6 linked regions of the Danio rerio genome follow. The protein of the gene in region 3 interacts with the protein of the main gene of each other region in a pairwise test. Links are inferred from orthologs where the notes say so. Each region holds a gene or a part of one and is shown on either strand. Other genes may lie near its edges.

Region 1 (3,500 bases), on a different chromosome or scaffold from region 3:
TTTTCACACCTCTACTTTCGAAAAAGTCAGAAAAGTGGGCGTGTCCAGCTCTGTTTAGGGGGGAGTGTCGGAGGAACTAAAGTGGGAGGGTGTGGGAGTGTCTATTTGTGCACGCGCGAGTTTCAGAGTCAAAATACACACACACACACACACACACACACACACACACACACACACACACACACACACAGAGAGACAGGAGAAAGCGATGGTGTTTAACCTACATGGACATCTGTAGTCGAATTATTTGCTGAATTAATAAATGTTGGACTTTAACTGCAGTTTGGCTCTTTCATTCAGGGAATTCATTCATGCCCCTCGCGACAAACGAGGTATTTGATTCGAGGAACTGCTCTAAGCGTGTATTTTTCATGCAATGTTTGATACCGCACGGCAAATGAGAGAAAAAAAAACTCCGCATTTCCCGGAAACTTAGATGCACACGGCAGGTAGCGTCAGAAAGCCGCGTGTGTTATTCCGGTCACTAAATGCGGTGCTAACATTTCTGCACTCAGTGCTATAGTTAACTTAATTCGATACGAGCAAACTGAATAAACAAAGAGCACTGGTCGCTCACTTACCAAATCTGTAGAGACAGGACAATCACCAGCAACTAGAGCCGCGTCTTTATGGAGAGAATACTACAAGCAAATCCAGATTTCAGCGTTTGCAGATGAGAACAGCTCTCAGGTAAACAATAATCCTCCTTAGACACGTAAATTATTGTTGTCGAGCGTTGCGTACACTGTTAATCCACACGTGATCCAGATAAGCTCTCACAGAGAGAAAATGAAAACGAAACTTAACGGCAGCAAACTATAAAAGTAACACTTCACGCTTGTTTTGCCAACACAACGTGGCGTCTTTGTGGTGTAAACACGGTGACACAAATGAATATTAATGAAGTTGCACAATAGAGCGCGCTGATTGGTTTGAACCAAGCCTTACTCATGCATTAATGTATCACACTGTAAGACGTAATAAGACTCACTCAGGCACAGACGCCCAGTCTGCACGCTGGAATACACGCTATTATGTCATGACCGTGACGCAGCTTCAAAAATTCGTTTCAAACAGGAAGTACGCATTTGCTTGAAATAACGCAAAAACAACCAATTTACACTTTTTAGTGAAATATAGGTGTCCTAATAGTGTTTTTAGCAGTGTGGGACACATATACGACTGTCAAAAGCTCAAAAAATGTGTTTTGGTGTTTCGTGACCCTTTAAATACCTTGTGATTATTGCAGGACGCTTCCTGACTTTCCACCTTCTCTCTCAGCAGCTGCAGCTCTTGAGTCAGTCGCTCTACCAGTGGTAAATCAGATGGCTCCACCAACTGCATCTGAAGGTCCTGATAAACAAATGTGTTCAATATATCTCAAAAAAAGAAAGACTATAGGCTATATGCACAAGGACTTTTAAATTTTCAGTAACCCAGTACAAGCAATTCCGGTTTATTTCTGTGTTTAAGGTCTGTTTTCTTTAAAAATCAGTGACCTTCACTGCCTGATTGATATACAATATAAAGAGGGTCTCAAACTGTACAAGAAGCACTGCTTTAAACTACATTGTTTCATGCCATGTCTTTAAAATATGGAAATTTATTTTACCACAGTTATTTTCAATGGTTCCTGCACTTGTCTGGTGCTTCTGACGGCGCTTCTGTTTAAAATTTTGTACTCTTTAACAACTAAATGAATGCTTAAGTCTATTTAAATGAATGGATTTTAATTACATTACAACATTGATGCTGTAAAAGGAACCGTATGTAATTGAAAATAGTCACATTAAACTTTCACAGGAAGTTTATCGGTGGGTGAAAAACACTAGCTGTGCATATACCCCATTGTAAAAGACTAGCACACAAACCTTGATGATTTCCTCTTTGACGCTCGCTGTCCTGCTCAAGGCATCTAGATCTGAGGTTTGGGTTTGGAGCTGGTCTTGGTAGGATGCTAAGGTGGCACGCAGGATGCTGAGCTGGGTCTGGGCTTCTCTTTCTCTGCGCAGAGTCATCTGGAGCTCATCCATAAGTGCTTGTGTGTCTTCTTGGGTCAACTCAGGGTTTGCTGACCCGAGTTGCTTTCGTAGCTCCTGCAATCGAGCTGTCTGTTCGGCCATAACCTGACCTACACGCCCTGCCGAATCCTGCGAGATTGATTGTGATGTAAAAAAAAAAAAGAAATTTAAAGTCCAGAAGGCACATTGGATTAACTTATATATATATTAAAGATAAATTTTATTAAATATAAGGTTGAAGTCAAAATTATTGTCAAATATTTCCCAAATGATGTTTAAAAGAGCAAGGAATTTGTCACGATATATACTATAAGTTAAGCATTTAAATGTCACTTTAAGCTGAGTACTAGTATTTTAAAAAAAAAATTATAAAATATTTATTGTCATCATGGCAAAGATAAAAGAGAGTTATTAAAACTATCACAGTACATTTAGAAATGTGCTGAAAAAATTATTTCCGTTTAACAAAAATCGGGGGAAAGTATATAGGGGGGGCCAATAATTTTGACTTCAAATGTATAAAATATATTTATTTTTAGATGAGTGATAGCATGTCACCTTGATGTAATGCTCTCTTGAGCTGATGGTGTTGAGCAGGTCCTGGACCTGTGAGTGATGCTCTTGAGTCTGTCTGCTGCGGTCTGAAAGAAGCTCCTGGAATAAGCGCTCCTTCAGCTGCAGCCGAGACTTGAGCTCCTCTGCCACCTCACCGGCCCCGACTGACACCTTACTGAGCAAAACTGCAGTCATTTCCTGCAGAGAAGTCAACGAGATAAAAATGAGGCCAACGGAATTTAATGATCCCAGAGAAATCTTGCACAATATTGTGCTGTATTATGTAAAAGTACTTGTATAGTCTGTCTTAGGTTATGTGTATAGTTAAGTATTTATAGTAAAAGCATAGGTAGTAATTGGTATAGTTAGATTACTGCTCCGGTATGTAAACTATGTATAGGTTTTGTATGGGTATTAAATAGTTTTACATTCAGTATTTATGATTTTGTTTTTTTATATAGCACAGTGGTTCTGTCATTTCATTTCACTGTATGTTCAATAAAGCTCAGCTTGACTTGACTTTATTGGAACAATGGAGTTTTTGTTTGTTTGCTTTGTAGTCTTATCTAGATTATTATTTGCTAAACATATAGCAATATTGTGATATATTAGTACAATTAAAGTGCCACATGATCCTTCAGACATATTATATCATACATCATATATATCTAGAAATATTTCTTATTAATATAAAAGGTTGAAAACAGATGTGCTGCTTCAAATATTTGTATTAAGAATGTAACAAAAACTTTTATTTCAAATAAATGCCGTTCTTTTAAACTCCTGAAAACAATTTATTGAAAACAATAAGAATTATTTTTAATCATGGTGCTCCAAAATCATTGTATAAGAATGATTTCTAAAGGATTATGGGACATTTAAAAATAGTGTAATACAACAGCTTAACCTTTACAGGAATAACTT
Region 2 (4,063 bases), on a different chromosome or scaffold from region 3:
AATAAACAACTAGTTTTTATAGAGATTGTGTCATGTCTTTTCTTTGACGCACGCGCTGAACAGCCTGTAGCCTAAATAATAGTTTAGATTTTATAACATATAATGTTTTATTACTTTAAATGTATAATGTTTTTTAATATTTATGGAATATATAAAATATATAGTTTATATAAATGCGCTCTGATCATTCAAGGATCATAATGCGTTGCATATTCTTCTTATTCTTCATTAGGCTTGATCCGTAAATTGTGTATTTTATAAACTGATCGTTTATAAGGATTAAGCTATTAATAACTGTAATTCCTCGAATGGAAAAGTCTTGATTAAAGAAAAAGAGAACTTAATTCGACATATGCATATAGTGCGCTTATTTCTGCGCGCATCGCGCGCTTTACCGAATTACCTTTTTTATTTTTATGCACTATAAATGCATCTGGCAGCACCGAAAAGAGCAAATGCCAAGTTATTAGCGCAGCGCACAGACAGCTAGCTCGTCTAGTCTGAACCAGGGGTTTTCAAACTATTCATTGCACACCGATCCCATTGCATTTTATTTAGGATAAACCACTTATTTAAAATTAATTAATTAAAAGGTGCGTACTCTCCAATACACCACTGTAGTGTCATAATATTTAATAATTATAATTAAGATAGACACCTGACCTCCATTTAATAAACAATTTATTTGCCATACTCTGTTAATTTGAAGTTTAAAGTTTAAATCATTTATGTTAAACTTAAATTATTTAAAAACTTAAAAAGACTTACATTTAGTCATTTAAGACATTTTAGGTCATAAGTTTACATACATTGACCGTTGCATTTAGTAGGCCTATTCTGGTCTAAATAAGCTTTTTGCATCTTAGGTGTTTACACACACAAATTAAGCAGTTTATACGTACATTTAATGTTACTTTGAAATTACTTTTGATGCAATAAATAATCCTAAATAGTTGAAAGTGTTAACATATTCTTGAAATGTAGTTATTTTATAACTATGAAATTTATTACTAAACAAAGTGAATCATTATGAATTTGCCAAGAAATAATCCACTTTACCACCGTAAAGCAATGCCCCACACTCACTAGAACGGTAGAACCTGGACTGTATGATATGTTCTGTATGTAAAATAGAGAAAATAAGCAAGATGCGCAGTCTCATGTAGCCTTAGTGAAATATAGCGCGTCACAGCAATGAACTAAAAATAAAACCACCCTTGAAATGCTGGCGATCTTAATTTTTTCAGCCTACACTGACTGAGAATAATGTTGCACTATTTAATTAACAAATAATTAGAATGTTTTTTTTTTCCTTCAACACATTCATCATTACTTTTGCCTGTGCAAGTTTTTTTGCGCGTGCTTGAGTGCGAAGGCATCTATTTTCAGGTGCAAGATGCCACTTTGGGTGGCACCAGCACACTCTGCCACACCTGTGGCTATGTCCCTGCTACAATAATAATAACAACAACAACGACAAAATAATAACAAAAAATAATAATAATAAGACAGGCCTACTTTGACGTTGCAATAAAAAAGTATTAATTATCAAATAAATATTTACAATAGGCTAAAGGCACATATTAAATTAAAATAGGAGAAAATCCAATAGAAACAGGTACCATTTATTATAGCCCCATGCAGGGTCCATTGTGTTCTTACAACCATTAAATAACTAAGTAAATAATAATAATAACAATACTGCTAATAATAGGCCTAATAATAATAATAATAATAATAATAATAATAATAATAATAATAATAAATTATTATTTTATACAGAGTAGGCTATTATTTAGGCCTACAATAGCTCTGAAACAATCATGTAAACCAGGTGCTGCTCGGAAATGGCTATCTTTGCTCTGCATCAGGTGCACAGCAGCAAGAAGCTTGGCAGTGAACTATGACCTTATTTTAATGACAAATGTCTAAGAATACTGCTGATTTACGTTTTTATTTAATTTATACATACGCAATGAATGTAAGCCTGCTAAATGTGTGTGGTTCAAATGATAGAATCTGTAAACTTAGTTAATATATATATAATTAAATAATAATAATTAAAAGCCTGCGTGTAAGGCTTTTATTTTGAGGGTGACGTCACGAGCGCAGATTTGGTTGACCAATTAGAGGAAAGTGGGCGTTTCAGCACCGCCTACATGTGTAAAATGAATTTTAAAGTCGTTTATCCGTTTTCCTACCCTAAACCAAAAAACGAAAATCCAGCCAAAATCTTGTTTTTTCGTTTTCTCGTGAGCAAAAGAAAAACGGAAAAACGGCAGTTTTCTCCATTTCCTTTATTCCGTTTGAAACTGGAAAAAAAATGAACAAAATGTACACGGACCATTTTTTGACTCATTATTTCGTTTTGGTTTTGTGTTTGTTTTAATATTTCGTTTTAAGTTAATAAGCAGAATAACAGATGAGTTTCCGTTTTTTCTGCCTACAGAATAAACAGAAAAACGAAATATTCATCGTTTTTCTGATGTTTCGTTTTCCGTAATAAAAGGAATAATCAAATGAACGGATGATACACGGACCCTGTTCTCGGATGACAAAAACTGATTAGTAACTTAGAGTGCGTGAAGCAAACGTTTCCCAGAAAAATCATGTTAGCTTAGCAATGCCACTCTGTTGTAAACAAAGACACATACCTTCCCTTAAATCAGGTATTGTCAATATTCCGTCATGGTCAACTCTGAAATAAACTATTGTGTTTAAAAATAACAGTGTGTAGACAGAATTACCTGAAAATGTGGTTTCTTGTTATAGACTTCAGCTTATCCGACAGTGACTTCCTGTTGGGACCGGAAGCAGAGCAGTGACATCAGAGTGACGCAGAGGTCAGAAACCCTCTCTCACAGCCATCTTGGATCCTGTGCCCTGAACTAGTGAGTACTCCTGCGTAAAATCTATTGTCATCCAACGTTGCTTTAGCCAATTCAATACATAATTTGTAGCTTATGCTGATGCTTTAGTGTAGCTGTGTTTGGAATGGTAAAGATTTGTAAATTTGCTTGGCTTATTGAGGAAATATGTTGATGATTACAACTGGCTGACTGTTCAAAATGGGGGAGCGAGACGCACCACCGCTCGCTATACTTCAGCCGTGGGCTTTGTGTCTAACGAAAATGTTAACCCTGCAAAAAGTTGCACTATATACAACTATAGCGATATATTGTGAGAAATCTGTAATTTAATCGTACGAAAGGTTGTTGCGTGACGTGCGACAATAAACACTGGCTGGATAGTTAACTTCGCTGCCTAAACATGTAACGTTTCTAAAAACGCATGCTGTGTCAACAGTATAACCTAACGTTACATTATAAAGGATTATAAACTCATTTCTTTAAAAAAGTTTTATTGTAATTTGTGTAATGAGGTTCTTTCATTCAGCAGTAACGTGTCAGAGCTCCTCTGTTAAGATACACACGTGAAATGTGCAACACAGTGCACGCGCACACATGAACAGTGTGTGGAACTGTTTGGGGACGTTATAAGCCTTATTTGTTCAGTTTGCCTGTTTGCAATTGATAAAGCTCACAAATTCTGTTCGGTGGCCTTGTGAAATGTTATCATGTAGCTCAATACTTTGAGACAACAGCAGTGTTTAACTGAGCCGGTAGTGGGACAGCTGACAGCCAGCAGAGGCCTACAGGAAGAGGCCTAGAGTGCTGCTGTTTCAATAGAAAAAGCCTCATTAACACAAAGCACTGACTAACGCATGTCTAAACCTTCATGCAGACTTTGTAAAGCTTATAATGTATTGTTTCTCATTTCTGTTTTAGTCCAGAATGCCAGGCGAAGCCACAGAAACTGTCCCTGTTACAGAGCAGGAGATGCAGCAGCCCCAGGCTGAGACGGGTTAGTACTGCTTTTAAAAGTGCATGTCTGATACTAAACACTGGTTGTCTAGGTGGTCCTGGAAATATTGTTTATTGTACTGGTTATTATCAAAATGTTGCTTATTCTATTCAGGGTGTTTTTGCACCTGTTTTAGCCTTTCTTCAGGTTTCTTTTAGGGTCTTCTCGCAGCTGTTGTAGAGATTTCGCATAACAAGTT
Region 3 (3,500 bases):
GCAACACTTTAACATAAGGTTGTATTTACTAATATGATCAAACAATGAACAATACATTTATTACAGTATTTCTACATGTTAGTTAATAAAAATACAGTTATTCGTTGTTAGTTCATGTTAACTCACAGAGCATTAACTAATGTTAACAGCCTGAATTAAAATGTTAATAATACATTAGTAAATGTTAAACTATTATTAATTAATGCTGTTCAAGTATTGCTCATAATTAGTTCATGTTAGTAAATACATTAACTTATAATTATAATGAAACCTTATTGTAAAGTGTGACTTACAATATATTTGTATACTGTAACACAAACCAGTTTAGGGACAGAAAATATGATTGAAAATGATAATTAGTAAATAATTGTAACATTCCATTATTTGTATGTATTTTACAACACCAAAAATGATTTGATGTGATTAAATAATTTAAAACTTGTAAACCAAGTCCTGCAAAAAAAAATAAATAATAATCTTTAAATTAATAATAAAAAGTGATTAATTCCTAAAGTTCTGGTAATTCCATTGAAATTTGTAATTGTGGTTAGGAAAAGGAAAATAAACTCTCCATCAAGTTATTAAACCCCAAATTATTAACAAATATTTTACCTGTTCAATCTTCTCAATGAGCTCCTCAGGAGATGGATCTTCTCCATTCAGGTTTCTTGCTCTGTTATCGTCCACACAAGCCTCTTCCAGCTCAGACACTCTGTCATTTATCTCAGACAACTATGACACAGAAAAACAGCCACACCATCAGGACACAATTAAAACAGTGGACTCATTTAAAACCCTTTGTTTCATTACACATGCACAGTCCGTACACAGCAAAACAGATGTATTTTCTGTCTTATTTATGACTGGTTAGACAGCGTCAAGCTGGCGGCAGATGTGTCACTGTGCTTGTCACAAAACAGAGAAATCATCTGGTGCCAACATGAGAAGAGATTCTTGTTTTGTTGTGCTCATTTGAGAGAGCAATGATTTGAATTGTCTCCACAAACAACATAAAACCAACTTAAATCGATCAAGAATTGCTGTATGTTGCTTGTCTTAATTATGTGCTAAATAAATCATGATGTAAAAATGTCTTAGGTTAAAATCCAGTGCTAGATGTTTATCCTTGTAAGATATTAGGAAATATGTAAGACTTAAGCCAGAAAGAGCAACACACGAGCCCACAACACATTGACAAGCCAAGGAGTTAAAGGTCATCTTTTAGTTCTGCACAAGCAGATGAATGAAAGCCTTCTAGAGAAACCTAATGAAATACAGTAATAGAAGGTGGGATGGTGAAGACGATGTTTGGGTGCAGAGTCTTAATCCTTTGTTTCTGCTTGGCAGTTTTCCTGACATTCCATGAAGAGTAGGATGATTTTCTTGGCTTGTCCAGGGTCTTATACAAGTGTTGGTACAGGACATCCTGTGATGCCCAATATAAACCAAGACATCATCACATGTTTGCATCTACTCACAAAAATATTTTGTACCTCTAAATTCTTCTCATTCTATTTTGAACATTCTACTTATTACATCCAATGTTTCTTGCAAAGTCCTTTTTTTAATTATTACACTACTGTTCAATGGTTTGAAATCAGTACGATGTTTAAATGTTTTTCATACTCTCTCATTTGATAGAAATATAGAGTAATGACTTTTATTTCGTTTATGGCAATGTTATTTTTTTTTAGAAATGATTATAATATGCTAACTGATGCTCATGTCAGAGTATCAACTTTGTTGTATTTTTGACAAATGTACGTGATGTGAAAAGATGTGCTTCAACTACAGTACCGTTTGTCATTGCCTGGTATCTAAGGACGAGGCATTTTTTATTGTAAAGTCTTAGTACTGTTTATTTGATCTGTTCTAATGCAGTAAATGTTGATATGCAGAGACTCTGTTGTTTAAACACAGAGGTCTATAAACCTATCAGGCGGATTTTCACTGAGATGGTTTATTTCATTTACAGAAGGGACTATAAATGGTAAAAACAACACTTCTCTGTGTGTGGGTATGTGTGGCACTTTAGAAGGCATTAAATCTAACCTTTACTTGCATTCCACTGTGTTTGTTTGCTCTGTTAGAGATTGTATTGTTGGCACTTGATTCACATATTTGTGTGCATCTGATGCAATTTTTTTAACAGATAAATGTTTCACAGTGGTTTCAAAATTGTGATCCAGGTACCTGTATCTGTAATAAGACACGCTCTTCCTCCAGAGCTAGTTTGTTTGACAACTGCTTTTTGTGCAGATCATTCTGTCTTTCTTCTTCTTTCTGTTCCATTTTCAAGTTTCTGATTTCATCTTCCATGTCATACATCTCCAAGTTGCTGTTTTCAGTCATTTTCACCAGTACACCAAGCTTCTCATTGAAAATACGCCATTCCTTCTCTCTTTCTGCAAGCTGCACAGACCTGACAACAAAAACACAGATAGAAATATCAGCACAGACTGTGAGAATTCACCTGCCAGATTTGTATCCCCCAGACTCTATGTCTCACTCTTGATTCCGCTTTTGCAGTTCGGCCTCATAGCGCTTGCAGATATGTAGCTTTTTTTGCTCTAGCATGTTCACGGTGTCCGTGAGCTTCCTGAGTTTTAGTTTTTGCTCCTCTCGATTTTGTTGCATCTCCTGCAAAGCCTGTAATGTCTGTGAGACCTCCTTCTTCAGATCGTCTCTTAGCTTGTAGCTGTGAGAGTGTTGTAGACGAGATCTCTGCAGTAACCTGCAGGAAATAAAAGGACCCTTAGAAAATTCTTGCTACCTTAATTTTTTTAGTTGATTAAAATTACCATCTCAACTTACATTAATCAAACAGACTTAAAATATTTTTTTTATATTTAATTTAAACATTTGTAGTCATGACTTTTTGTCAATATTTTTTTACAGTGGCCTCACATTGGATTTAGTTTGGATCACACAACATTTAGTTTGAACACAAACAGAAACTCAACCATACAAGCGAAAATAAATCTCATTGTTGAGCAATCTTTAATGTCCCAGTGACATCAAAAGAAAGCAGATGTCAGTATCAGTATGTTAGTCTTAAGAATATCTGTAATGTAGTGTGCTCCAAAACAGTGACAAGATTTACATTAAGAAAATATAAACATATTAAAATAATTTTGCCTAAATGGATAAACCAAAATGTTTTTGATGTAAATTAATATTTCAGTTTCTCATTAAATCTTCAGACCAAACAAATACTCTCTAGTGTCTGACATGTCCTGTCCCTTTAGGACTCTATATATGCTATATATGAGTTTGAGTTTAACTCGGGACTCAAAACACTATTGGCTGTTTTTTTTAAAGAGACAGGAACTACATTATGTCCCACCCTACCACCATATCTCAGTTCAAATAATGCCAAACTTCGAGCAAATATGCACACTCATAGCACTTCACAGTAAAGGTAAGTGTTACTTTGTGGTAGGTAGTCAGATTGTTAAAAGAATAAGAATATGCATGTGAAAGGTAAGGAACTTGTCTTT
Region 4 (3,500 bases), on a different chromosome or scaffold from region 3:
TTTGTTTAACAGAACAAAAATCTTGAATTGGTTTGGGACAAGCCAAGGGAGACTAAATGAAGACAGACTTTTCATTTTTGGGTGAATAATCCCTTTAATACCAGGTAAAGCAAGCCTGACATCAGACAGCTACAACTCCAAATAAATCCAAGTGTTTGAATCTGCAAAAATGCCTGAATTGCCTGGCTGATCTGATAAAAAAAAAAAAAAAAAACTGAGTGGCTGACTATTCTATTAGAACTTAGAGGAAGTGGAAAGTGAGATGGACATTTCAAATATAATCATATACTCCCTTTCTCTGTGAAACAGAAGAAAAAGAAAAGCACTAGAATTAATTTGCTCCCATATCTCTGGGCGCCCAGTTACTGACTGAAACACTGGAAAGCTTTGAGGGAGACCTTTTTTCCACCATCTCCTCATTAAAAACTCACACATTTCTTCAGTTGCATCATCCATATGAGACTGTCGTGAGCTTGTGGTTTGTGCTGACTTGGCACACGAATGGCTTTGCGTTGTTTTACTGTCTCTTCAGAGTGGTTTCATAACCAACACACTGCAGCTCAGGCACAAATCTCATCAGTAATGGAAATGTGGAGTGTGTTGATAGAGAAAGCCCACGGGAGAGCCGGCGAACCACATCTTTGACAAACTTTAACTGTGCCTTCAGCAATTAGATGGTGTGAGGAATGATAAATGCAGATGTTTTGTGTGATAATGCAGTTGGCTAGCAAGCCTGGACCACAAACAAGAACCTTGCTGAATTGATTAATGTAATGTTTGGAAAAACACAGCTCATGATGAATAGAAGCAATAAAGCAAACACTCCAAAAACAGCATTAAACAAGTCCTTGAGTAAAGCTCGAGTACAAGACTGCAAGAAAAAATTGTAAGTGTGGCTAAAATCAGGCCTAATCCATGTGCCAATTTTACTAAAACATACTAATCCATGTGCTTTTTCACAACAGACACTGACAGCAGAACAATGACTTTCTCTAAAAGATTTTTTTCTGAGATTTTCAGTGTATTCAATAACTTTTGATTGATAGTAAAATAACTTAGGTAAATGCAGCATGATGGTTCAGTGATTAGCAATCTTGCCTGACACAAGGTTTCTGTAGGTTAATTAAGTCAAATTTAAGACTTTTAAACCCTTTTAAGACCATTATATATGATGTTTTAGACTTACAGAGAACTAAACACTAAAGATTTTTTTTCTAATAGCCCAATTACTTTAGTAAATAGTTTTTATATTAATGGAAGATCATGTAAAGAGATGTGTTGCTTTAGTTTTCCTAATATATAATGCTTTATACACAATTGAAGTCAGAATTATTAGCCCCCCTGAATTATTAGCCCCCATGTTTATTTTTTCCCCAATCTCTGTTTAACGGAGAGATTTTTTTCAACATATTTCTAAACATAATAGTTTTAATAACTCACTTATTTTATCTTTGCCATGATGACAGTAAATAATATGTCACTAGATATTTTTCAAGACACTTCTATACAGCTTCAAGTGACATTTAAAGCCTAAACTATGTTAATTAGGTTAAGAAGGCAGATTAAGGTAATTAGACAAATTATTGTATAATGATGGTTTGTTCTGTAGACTATCAAAAAAAAATAGCTTAAAGGGGCTAATAATTTTGTCCTTAAAATGTTGTTTAAAAAATTAATAACTTGCTTTTATTCTAGCCAAAATAAAACAAATAAGACTTTCACCAGAAGAAAAAATATTATTAGACATACTGTGAAAATTTCCTTCATCTGATAAACATAATTTGGGAAATATTAAAAAACAAATTTAAAAACTCAAAAGGCTAATAATTTCTAATAACTTCAACTTTATATTAAACTTAAAATTAAGTGTTAGACTTGTGAATATGTTAAATACATTATTGTACCTTTAACCATATAATACCTACTGTTACATATCTGCATGTATTTAAGGCTTCACAATTGTCAAAGCTTTGCTGTCCCAAGTCATACACATACTGTTTTTCATCCCATTCATTTAGGTAACATATATTTTATTTTGTTTTCCAGATATACTGTAAAAGGTAACTTATACCCATTTTGCATTACATTACATGTGTCTCCACAATAAATAATACAGAGCTTTGATGGTAAAGCTAAGCATTTAAATACTGTATCATCTTACTAAGATGTATTATTTGGTAGACATTGAGCGACAACTGATATTTAGATGCATTTTATCTAAGTAGTCTTCTATAATGTTAAAAGGATCTTATTGATTTACATTACAAGCTATCATAAGTCCAGCTTTCTTTTTAAGCTTACCATATAAATATCAGCATTTTTTTTGCTCCTTTCAGGCCTTTGAATGAAATTACCGTGTTTTTCACCTCCTATATAAGCCATTAAAGTCTGGTGTGTATTATGTGATGCTTAAAAACTCACACCGTATGCATTATTTTTGGAACTGCACTGCAAAAATGCCTTTCAGTCAAGAAGCATTTTCTAGAATTAAAAACAAGCAAAATGATCTTGTTTTTTCTTTTGACATAAGTTTATTTTGCTTGCTCCACTGGCAGATTATTTTATGTGTTTTAGGAAAAAACTCACTTAATGTTGACATAATATTTCTTAAAACAAGATAATAACTTTTGCTTGTCTAGAAAATGTTTCTTAATTTAAGAATTTTTGAATTTTTAGACTAGAAACAAGACTAAAAATCCAAGTAAGAAAATAAACCTAAATTATGCCTTTTGTAAACAACTAATAGTGTGTTTTGTTTTCAAAAGGAGGTGTTTGGAGACATGTAATCCCCTCACCTGCACCTGTGTTGATGTTCCTCATGCTCTCCTTTGCACTGACTCTGTTGTTGGGAGGATAATCTGGCACCGGTGCCTCATAGCGTCGATCTGGGACGCGTGGGCTGGTCTTACTGGGGTAAGATCTAGGTCATAACAGGGAAAACAAGGACAAGGAATACAGATGGTTAAAGAATATTTCAAATTTTCCCTCACCATTTACTCACACTCAAGTGGTTATAAAACATTTATGATTTTTTTTTATTTTATTAAAAATTTTTGGGGGAAAGCAACCATTGACATGTAGAAGCAAAAATACTATGGAAGTCAATGAGCCCTATCATACACCCGATGCAATAAGGTGCAAGATGTACAGATGTTACTACTTCAATGTGTTCCTTGTGCCGCCATTCATGCCGCGGCGACGGCGGTACTTGATGCGCCAGCAGCATTTGACCGCTGGGTGGCACTTTAACCACAGATATTCAGCTTTGCCTTTTCACAATGCTAAACAGACTGTTCTGTAGGCGTAGCTTACTGTATGTGATGTGATGTGTTCAATTAAAATATAATTTTAATTTAGTTTTTCTGGTAATAGACATGCTCTTACACTATCCTATGCTGTAGAAAAGATACATGGTGAGAAGTCAAAAAGCAGATATAAGAATTAAGTTATTAGCCTTCAGTGCCCGATTAAATTGCGTTATGGTGAAAATAATGTTTTGA
Region 5 (3,500 bases), on a different chromosome or scaffold from region 3:
TTTTGGTAATCTTTAATGAAAGTCTGATCATGTGTTTCAGTTTTTGGAGTGACGGTCCTTTTGTTGACGTGAATCTGAGGGCTTTTATAGCAACTGTGTTTATCATTTTGTTAATAGCATCTCTTACTTAGTCAAGTACCTTTTTTGTGTTCTATACTTTGCCTTAGTTTGCTATGAGGGAACGATGCAACAAATAAAACCCCCGCTCCCTACGTAGCGAAATAAATCTTAAATCCTTAATACTATATTTTTAGTCAGTTTGACTTATGCAAATTGAGATGACTAAAATAGTTTGTTTAAATTAAAATAAAATAAAGCAGCAAGAATGTTTTATAGTGTAACTATTGCTATCAAATCATAAATGATCAAGCTAAAGGATAAATTTTATGATTATGTAATAGACAAGTTCTTGACAGCTCTAGAATAAGTTCTTGAAATAATGGAAATAGTAAAAAAAAATGCATTTACTTCCACAGTGTCAGGAATTCTGAGTGACAATACAGCATTACACAAGGCAAACTACAACTGGAAGTAAATGTTCCATAAAAAATGTCTATATTATCTATATTGTGTTATTTCTTTATTTCTATTTTTAAACAGGAAAATATTGAAAGGTTACTGGGCCTAACTTAACAAGAATGTTGGCTTTTAGCAGAACATAGAAACACACAGACATTAGGATTTCATCCAACAACACATGATACTAGTACAACTAATAACCAAACATACTAAATTTAGGGAACCAGGCTACTGTCTCATTGACAACAGTAATAGTTGACCATCAGATGATGAGCATGGGATTAATAATAATAATAATAATGAAATGTTATGTCACCAACAAAGGCTAAAGTCATGAGAAAACATTTCATTAAAAGTAAATACAAGACCAGAAACAAATAAACACAAGATAAATTAGATACGATTTTAAAACTGAATACATGATAACAATTGTAACACTTTTCCTGATAAAACTTTGCTGAATTTCCTTTTATAGTAAGTTAAAAGTAAAAGTGGGTCAGTCTAATAAAAGGTTTTACAGTAAGAGCAATTTTGTCGTTTTACATTTAAAATTCTTTAAACTAAACACTTTAATTCTAAAATTGCTTAATATTTGATATAAAATAAGTTAGTTATAATCATTTAAATAAAATTATTAAGTGTCCACATCAAATTAAAATTTCAGAAGTGCTTTTATATACATACGAAGCATATTAAATGGCGGAAAATGGTTTAAAAGCATGGAGAAAATGTCCCATCATCAATCAGAATGTGCCTTTGAAACAACCTCTTTTAGGTACCGGCTTTTTACCAAAGACACTAAGACCATGTACATTATGTATTCATAATAAACAAAGCGTTTGTTACAAAAGGCTTCAAAGTCTATCAGTCTTATTATACCCAATTACGCATATTTTTCACAGGAGGTCTCATGACACATTGTTTATTGCCACAGGGATAAAGCGTCCTAGTTATATTTAGTCTGGTTTGGCAAACGATTGCTACAGTCACCAGAGCCTCAGGTCCCATGTCTTTGTTTGTGTTTACTTGACGTGGCAGAAAATCTCCCACATAAGAGTAAATCACATATATGTGTCACTACACCGGGTTTCAGCTTCATTGATGAAACAGAAGAAGTGTCAGGTACTGTAGTGTTGTGTCACAAGAGTGTTGTGTCACAACAGCTTGGGGCGTTGCTGGATCTCTATACAGAACACGGCTTTGAAGTATGAACAGCAAATAGACTTAATTAATGTAAGTGCTTCGAGAAGAGAAATGTTTATCCTTGGTGGAACTTGGAACTGGTTCACAGGCTAGCCCAACACAAGACTGACCTGGTGGATTCTGATTTGTAGATATCTATGATATTCTCCACTAGCAGATTTCTCTGAAGGCCGTAGACACCATGCCGATCCAAAACCACCTCATGGCGACATGATGGGCAGCGGAAACGCCCCCCTGTGGACACAGTGGTTGAGGCCCGGTTTTGCCAAAGAGGGTTGGAGGCCTGGAGCAATGAAAGACAAAAAAAGGGGTGCCATTAAAAGCAAACAACTTGATGGAATAGCATTTCACAGACATTAAACATTTAATGCACTGAAAAAAGTGCTGAATCTACCTTGTCTTTCATTTGAAGTACGTTTTTATATTTGATTAAGTGAAAAATTATGGATTCTGATTTTAAAGCAAAAAAGTTACCTTATTTATTATAGTAACTCTAAATACACTCTATATAACAATCTAATTCATGTTTACTTAACTCGCCAGGTCATGTTTTGCCATCTGCCATTACTTGATTCAAATGTGAAGAAAGTCTGTGGCCAAAGTAAATTTTATTTAGACAAGAGAAGCATTCCCATATTATATAAGAAAGCATCAGGGCGTTATGGTGGCACAGTGGGTTGCACGATCACCTCACAGCAAGAAGGTCGCTGGTTCAAGCCCCGGCTGGATCAGTTGGCATTTCTGTGTGGAGTTTGTATGTCCCCCTCAAGTCCAAAGACATGCTCTATAGGTGAATTGGGTAGGCTAAATTGTTTGTAGTGTACTATGTGTGTGAATGGGAGTGTATGGGTGTTTCCCAGTGATGGGTTGCTGCTGGAAGGGCATCCGCTGTGTAAAACATATGCTGGGTAAGTTGGTGGTTCATTCCGCTGTGGTGACCCCAAATTAATAATAAAGGGACTAAGCCGAGATGTAAATGAATGAATGAATGAATGAGAAAGCATTCGCGATGGCAACATATCTTTTTTAAAACATGTTTGTAATACTGCCAGGTCGAGGCTTTAACAACAGTAACGTTAGTCTATTAGTTACTCTGACAAAGATATCTTCAGGTACTGCTTATGTGCCCTCAATAAATACATTTAGCTGAAACAAATTACAGTAATTTTTTAAAGTTACTTTGACCATACAGAAATCTTTTAAATTCATGTTTTTAATAGGAAGCTATATAATATTATATTTGTGCATATACATTAGATTAGTCAGTACTGAAGCCAAATCTGGAGCTTGTCTGACAAAATAACATATATGATAACGATCCAAAAACTAGTACACCCAAATTTTTATTATAGAAAAATATTAAATACAAAATTTTTAAAAAGGAAAAAAACAAGAGAAGCAAAATGATTAAATAAATAAGTAAAAAAAATTGTTGAAACTTTGTAGGTTGTATTTTTATTTATTTATTTATTTTTGTATATTTTGCTTGATTTTTTATTGTATTATCTTTCGATTTCTAAATATGTGTGGTGACTAAAATATTATTTTAATAATTATATCTGTTTTTCATGCACCGAAATACATTGCCTATATCCACTGAGAAATTAATAAAATATTCATTTCAATCTCATTCATACATTTCAGTTTGATTTGCTCATCCACCAATGAGGGGTAGGGACAGGAGTGGAGTTTGAAGGCACATCTCCTTTAAAAAAAAAAAAAAATCTACATTTACATATCAGTGAATGAGTATGAATAGTTACTTTTCTGACAATATA
Region 6 (3,500 bases), on a different chromosome or scaffold from region 3:
CAGAGATGAGCTAATTATTTTACAAAAATGATCGTTTGGCAGAACTGACTGCATTCCCACAGCTCAGCAGTTCCAGCATTCCTCTGGCATCAAACCCAAGACTGCTGTTGCAGGAGCTTTATTACAAAACAACACTGATGTCTCAATGAGCCACACAGAGACTGCTTTACATGCACTAAAACACCCCTCATTTGAATGTGGATGCACAACCTTACAGATTTAGAAGCAGCTTTAATTTACTAGCAACACTAGTCATCTCTGCCGGACAATCTGAAATATTGTATGCATTTTTATTCTCTAGTCTTCATCTGCACTGTAAGAAGCGCTATAGAAATAATGATGGACGGAACTGAAGGACTCCAGCACAAGTTGTTTCTAGATACCTTTGGGTATCTGGTCAAAATGGTCACATGCGGCCCAAACACTCCCGGTGGAGGTGAGCTGCTCCTGCGAGACACTGGGGGAACACAGGAGAATGTAAACACAGTAAATGAACACAGACAGATTATAAACACACACAGGTTGTTTAAACAGTATATAAACACAGACTGATCATCATATCATCACTATATCCCATCATCATCTGATCATCCTGATACAGCACTGAAGAGCAGACACTGATGAAGCGCTGGCGCACATGCACACTCACTACAGCTGATCACAGCACAGCTTATCTGCAGTTTCTCTCACTGGACACAAGGTTTACCCTACTCACTTTATGCACATTTTCAAAATGTATGCACATCTTGGATTTCCATTAAGTGTTTTTTTCTGAAATAATCCAAAATGTGCATAAAAACAGGTGGATGGAAACACAGCTAGCGAGGGCCTCAGAGGACGAGTTCTACCTTTGTCCAGGTGAGGACAGAATGACATCCAGCAGCTGAACCAGACCCTCCAGAACCTCAGCGGTGGCGTCCCTGACAGACCTCCTCAGTGTGACTCCTGGACACACGTGCGCGCAAACACACACACGAAAACATATATACACACACACACACACACACACAATCATGTACAGACACGTGCATACACAAATATCCACAAACATACACACACACACAATCATAAACAGAAGCACGCACACACAAAGAAACATTTACAAACATGCACCAAAAAAAACACACAAACACACATAAACAAATACACACACATGCAAAATGGCACAGATACACACGGAAATACACACAACCAAACAAACACAAAAACGTGTATATATACACACACACATGCACAAACACAAAAACACAAACATGCATGCACAAACACACAATCATGTACAGACACGTGTATACACAAATATGCACAAAAACACACATACATCATGTACAGGCACGCATACACAGAAACATGCACAAATATGCAGAAAAAAAGACACAAACATACATTACACACATGCAAAAAGACACACACACACACAAACACAGAAAACACAAACAAAAAAACACACACATTTGCACAAAATCACACGTCAGACACACAGAAACAGAAACACACATGCACACGCACACACACACAAACACGCACACACACAGACACACACACACACACACATACACAGTCTAATGAGTTTCTCAATAATCAGGTCAGAGGTCATGAGACGGTTTGTGTAATCCACAAATGAGCAAATGCAGCTGAGCAGCTCCAGAAGAGCTTCATACTGAACACAGACACCACAGAACACTGCACTGCTTTTGATTTTGGACTTCAGTATCCTTGTAAAATTATGATTACGCTCAGTTTTCTTTTACGTTTTTAGAATTACTTAATTACGCACTAAATATTTACGATAGTGTTTTTATTTCATACATTTTTACAGCTTGAGCATGTGTGTGTGTGTGTGTGTGTGTGTGTGTGTGTGTGTGTGTGTGTGTGTGTATGTGTATATCTGTTACCTTGACTCTTTGGCAGCCAGAAGTAAACGGTGCACAAGGTCAACACACTCTTCTGCACACAATCCCCCATTTTTGCACAATCCTAAAGCGAAGAAACACAACAGCAGCAGCAGCATTACTGATGGACAAATGACAGGATAGTTATAGTGATGTTCAGAAGGGGGTTAATCACACCTCGTCTGACGGCAGTGGCGGCTTGGAGAACATCAGGCTGAGTTTAGTCGCTTCTTGAGACACTGCTTTTACAGCTTCATCTGCGGAAAGAGAAGAGCTGGAGTGAGTCATTCAGCGATTCAGAAGAACATGATTCAGATTCAGAATCAAACACTGAACGAACTCAGAATCTCCCAGAAGTTGGCCAAGCTGAAGGTGCCGCTGCTGTCGTTGGACTCTCCATCTGCAAACACAATCAGAAACACTGTGGGCTTCAGCACATCACTGACAACATCTCATTCAAATTACTATTAACTATATCTGTTAAACTAGAGTAAACATCATGACTAGCACTCTGACCAGCTAACTATATCTGTTAAACTAGAGTAAACACCATGACTAACACTCTGACCAGCTAACTATATCTGTTAAACTAGAGTAAACACCATGACTAGTGTTCTCACCAGCTAACTATATCTGTTAAACTAAAGTTAACATCATGACTAGCGCTCTGAGCAGCTAACTATATCTGTTAAACTAGAGTAACACTCTGACCAGCTAACTATATCTGTTAAACTAGAGTAAACACCATGACTAACACTCTGACCAGCTAACTATATCTGTTAAACTAGCGTAACACTCTGACCAGCTAACTATATCTGTTAAACTAGAGTAAACATCATGACTAGCACTCTGACCAGCTAACTATATCTGTTAAACTAGCGTAACACTCTGACCAGCTAACTATATCTGTTCAACTAGAGTAAACATCATGACTAGCACTCTGACCAGCTAACTATATCTGTTAAACTAGCGTAACACTCTGACCAGCTAACTATATCTGTTCAACTAGAGTAAACATCATGACTAGCGCTCTGAGCAGCTAACTATCACCGGTTAAAGTGTTTTCGTGAGTGTTTTGGAAGTTTAGCCGTTAGCATTCCCACAAACACTGCTCAAATACACAATGAAACACGGAATACAGGACCACCATACCTCTCACTCGATCCCTGCTGCACTTCACCGAGTTCCAGAGGTTTCTCAGCGGAAGCAGCGCTTCTGAACGCGAGTTTTCGCCGCTCATGACGCGCTTTGCTTCAGTTTCGTGGAGCCGCGGAACGAAAGTCAAGCGGAACTAATATTGTCTGAGTGTGACCGGAATGAATCCGTCGCTGCACAGTCAGCTTGGTTGATACTTTTTGAATGTTTGTTTGTAATTATATACATTTTGAAGTGTTAAACCAATATAATTGTTTACTTCTGTATTACTGGTGTAGTTTGGTCAATTGGTGAAGTTTGTTCCTCCGCTGTCGCCACTGGCTTGTCTGGTTCGGGACCTGTGGAGCTGTGGATGGATTTGCTCTTCAGTGTTTGTTTGGACTCTCAGCAGTGTAGATTTAACCACACTGAACTGAACTAAGCAGAACTTCAACTCTGAACACTGGACTGAAA

The links.
Region 1: the proteins of ccdc146 (region 3) and pde4dip interact in binary tests that used the Homo sapiens proteins (3 or more experiments, as listed by UniProt). The two-hybrid records come from large-scale screens. The link is inferred for Danio rerio from reciprocal best matches to the Homo sapiens genes CCDC146 and PDE4DIP.
Region 2: the proteins of ccdc146 (region 3) and tfip11 interact in binary tests that used the Homo sapiens proteins (3 or more experiments, as listed by UniProt). The two-hybrid records come from large-scale screens. The link is inferred for Danio rerio from reciprocal best matches to the Homo sapiens genes CCDC146 and TFIP11.
Region 4: the proteins of ccdc146 (region 3) and necab2 interact in binary tests that used the Homo sapiens proteins (3 or more experiments, as listed by UniProt). The two-hybrid records come from large-scale screens. The link is inferred for Danio rerio from reciprocal best matches to the Homo sapiens genes CCDC146 and NECAB2.
Region 5: the proteins of ccdc146 (region 3) and trim54 interact in binary tests that used the Homo sapiens proteins (3 or more experiments, as listed by UniProt). The two-hybrid records come from large-scale screens. The link is inferred for Danio rerio from reciprocal best matches to the Homo sapiens genes CCDC146 and TRIM54.
Region 6: the proteins of ccdc146 (region 3) and ccndbp1 interact in binary tests that used the Homo sapiens proteins (3 or more experiments, as listed by UniProt). The two-hybrid records come from large-scale screens. The link is inferred for Danio rerio from reciprocal best matches to the Homo sapiens genes CCDC146 and CCNDBP1.

The regions. Positions count from the first base shown.
Region 1 is NC_133195.1:37,876,440-37,879,939, reverse strand, and holds part of pde4dip (myomegalin), read right to left. Parts: intron 2,775-3,500; coding exon 2,580-2,774; intron 2,151-2,579; coding exon 1,872-2,150; intron 1,354-1,871; coding exon 1,234-1,353; intron 1-1,233. UniProt on the Homo sapiens protein: Functions as an anchor sequestering components of the cAMP-dependent pathway to Golgi and/or centrosomes.
Region 2 is NC_133198.1:20,764,276-20,768,338, forward strand, and holds the start of tfip11 (tuftelin-interacting protein 11), read right to left. Parts: upstream 2,801-4,063; 5' UTR 2,748-2,800; exon of another isoform or gene 2,655-2,747; intron 1-2,654. UniProt on the Homo sapiens protein: Involved in pre-mRNA splicing, specifically in spliceosome disassembly during late-stage splicing events. Intron turnover seems to proceed through reactions in two lariat-intron associated complexes termed Intron Large (IL) and Intron Small (IS).
Region 3 is NC_133179.1:20,785,975-20,789,474, reverse strand, and holds part of ccdc146 (coiled-coil domain-containing protein 146), read right to left. Parts: coding exon of another isoform or gene 3,493-3,500; intron 2,735-3,492; coding exon 2,510-2,734; intron 2,423-2,509; coding exon 2,194-2,422; intron 733-2,193; coding exon 613-732; intron 1-612. UniProt on the Homo sapiens protein: Essential for sperm flagellum biogenesis and male fertility.
Region 4 is NC_133193.1:22,958,790-22,962,289, reverse strand, and holds part of necab2 (N-terminal EF-hand calcium-binding protein 2), read right to left. Parts: intron 2,921-3,500; coding exon 2,796-2,920; intron 1-2,795. UniProt on the Homo sapiens protein: May act as a signaling scaffold protein that senses intracellular calcium.
Region 5 is NC_133195.1:42,032,489-42,035,988, forward strand, and holds part of trim54 (tripartite motif-containing protein 54), read right to left. Parts: intron 2,006-3,500; coding exon 1,833-2,005; intron 1-1,832. UniProt on the Homo sapiens protein: May bind and stabilize microtubules during myotubes formation.
Region 6 is NC_133181.1:63,059,632-63,063,131, reverse strand, and holds part of ccndbp1 (cyclin-D1-binding protein 1 homolog), read right to left. Parts: intron 3,199-3,500; exon of another isoform or gene 3,133-3,198; coding exon of another isoform or gene 3,045-3,132; intron 2,293-3,044; coding exon 2,233-2,292; intron 2,150-2,232; coding exon 2,070-2,149; intron 1,978-2,069; coding exon 1,896-1,977; intron 946-1,895; coding exon 849-945; intron 458-848; coding exon 384-457; intron 1-383. UniProt on the Homo sapiens protein: May negatively regulate cell cycle progression. May act at least in part via inhibition of the cyclin-D1/CDK4 complex, thereby preventing phosphorylation of RB1 and blocking E2F-dependent transcription.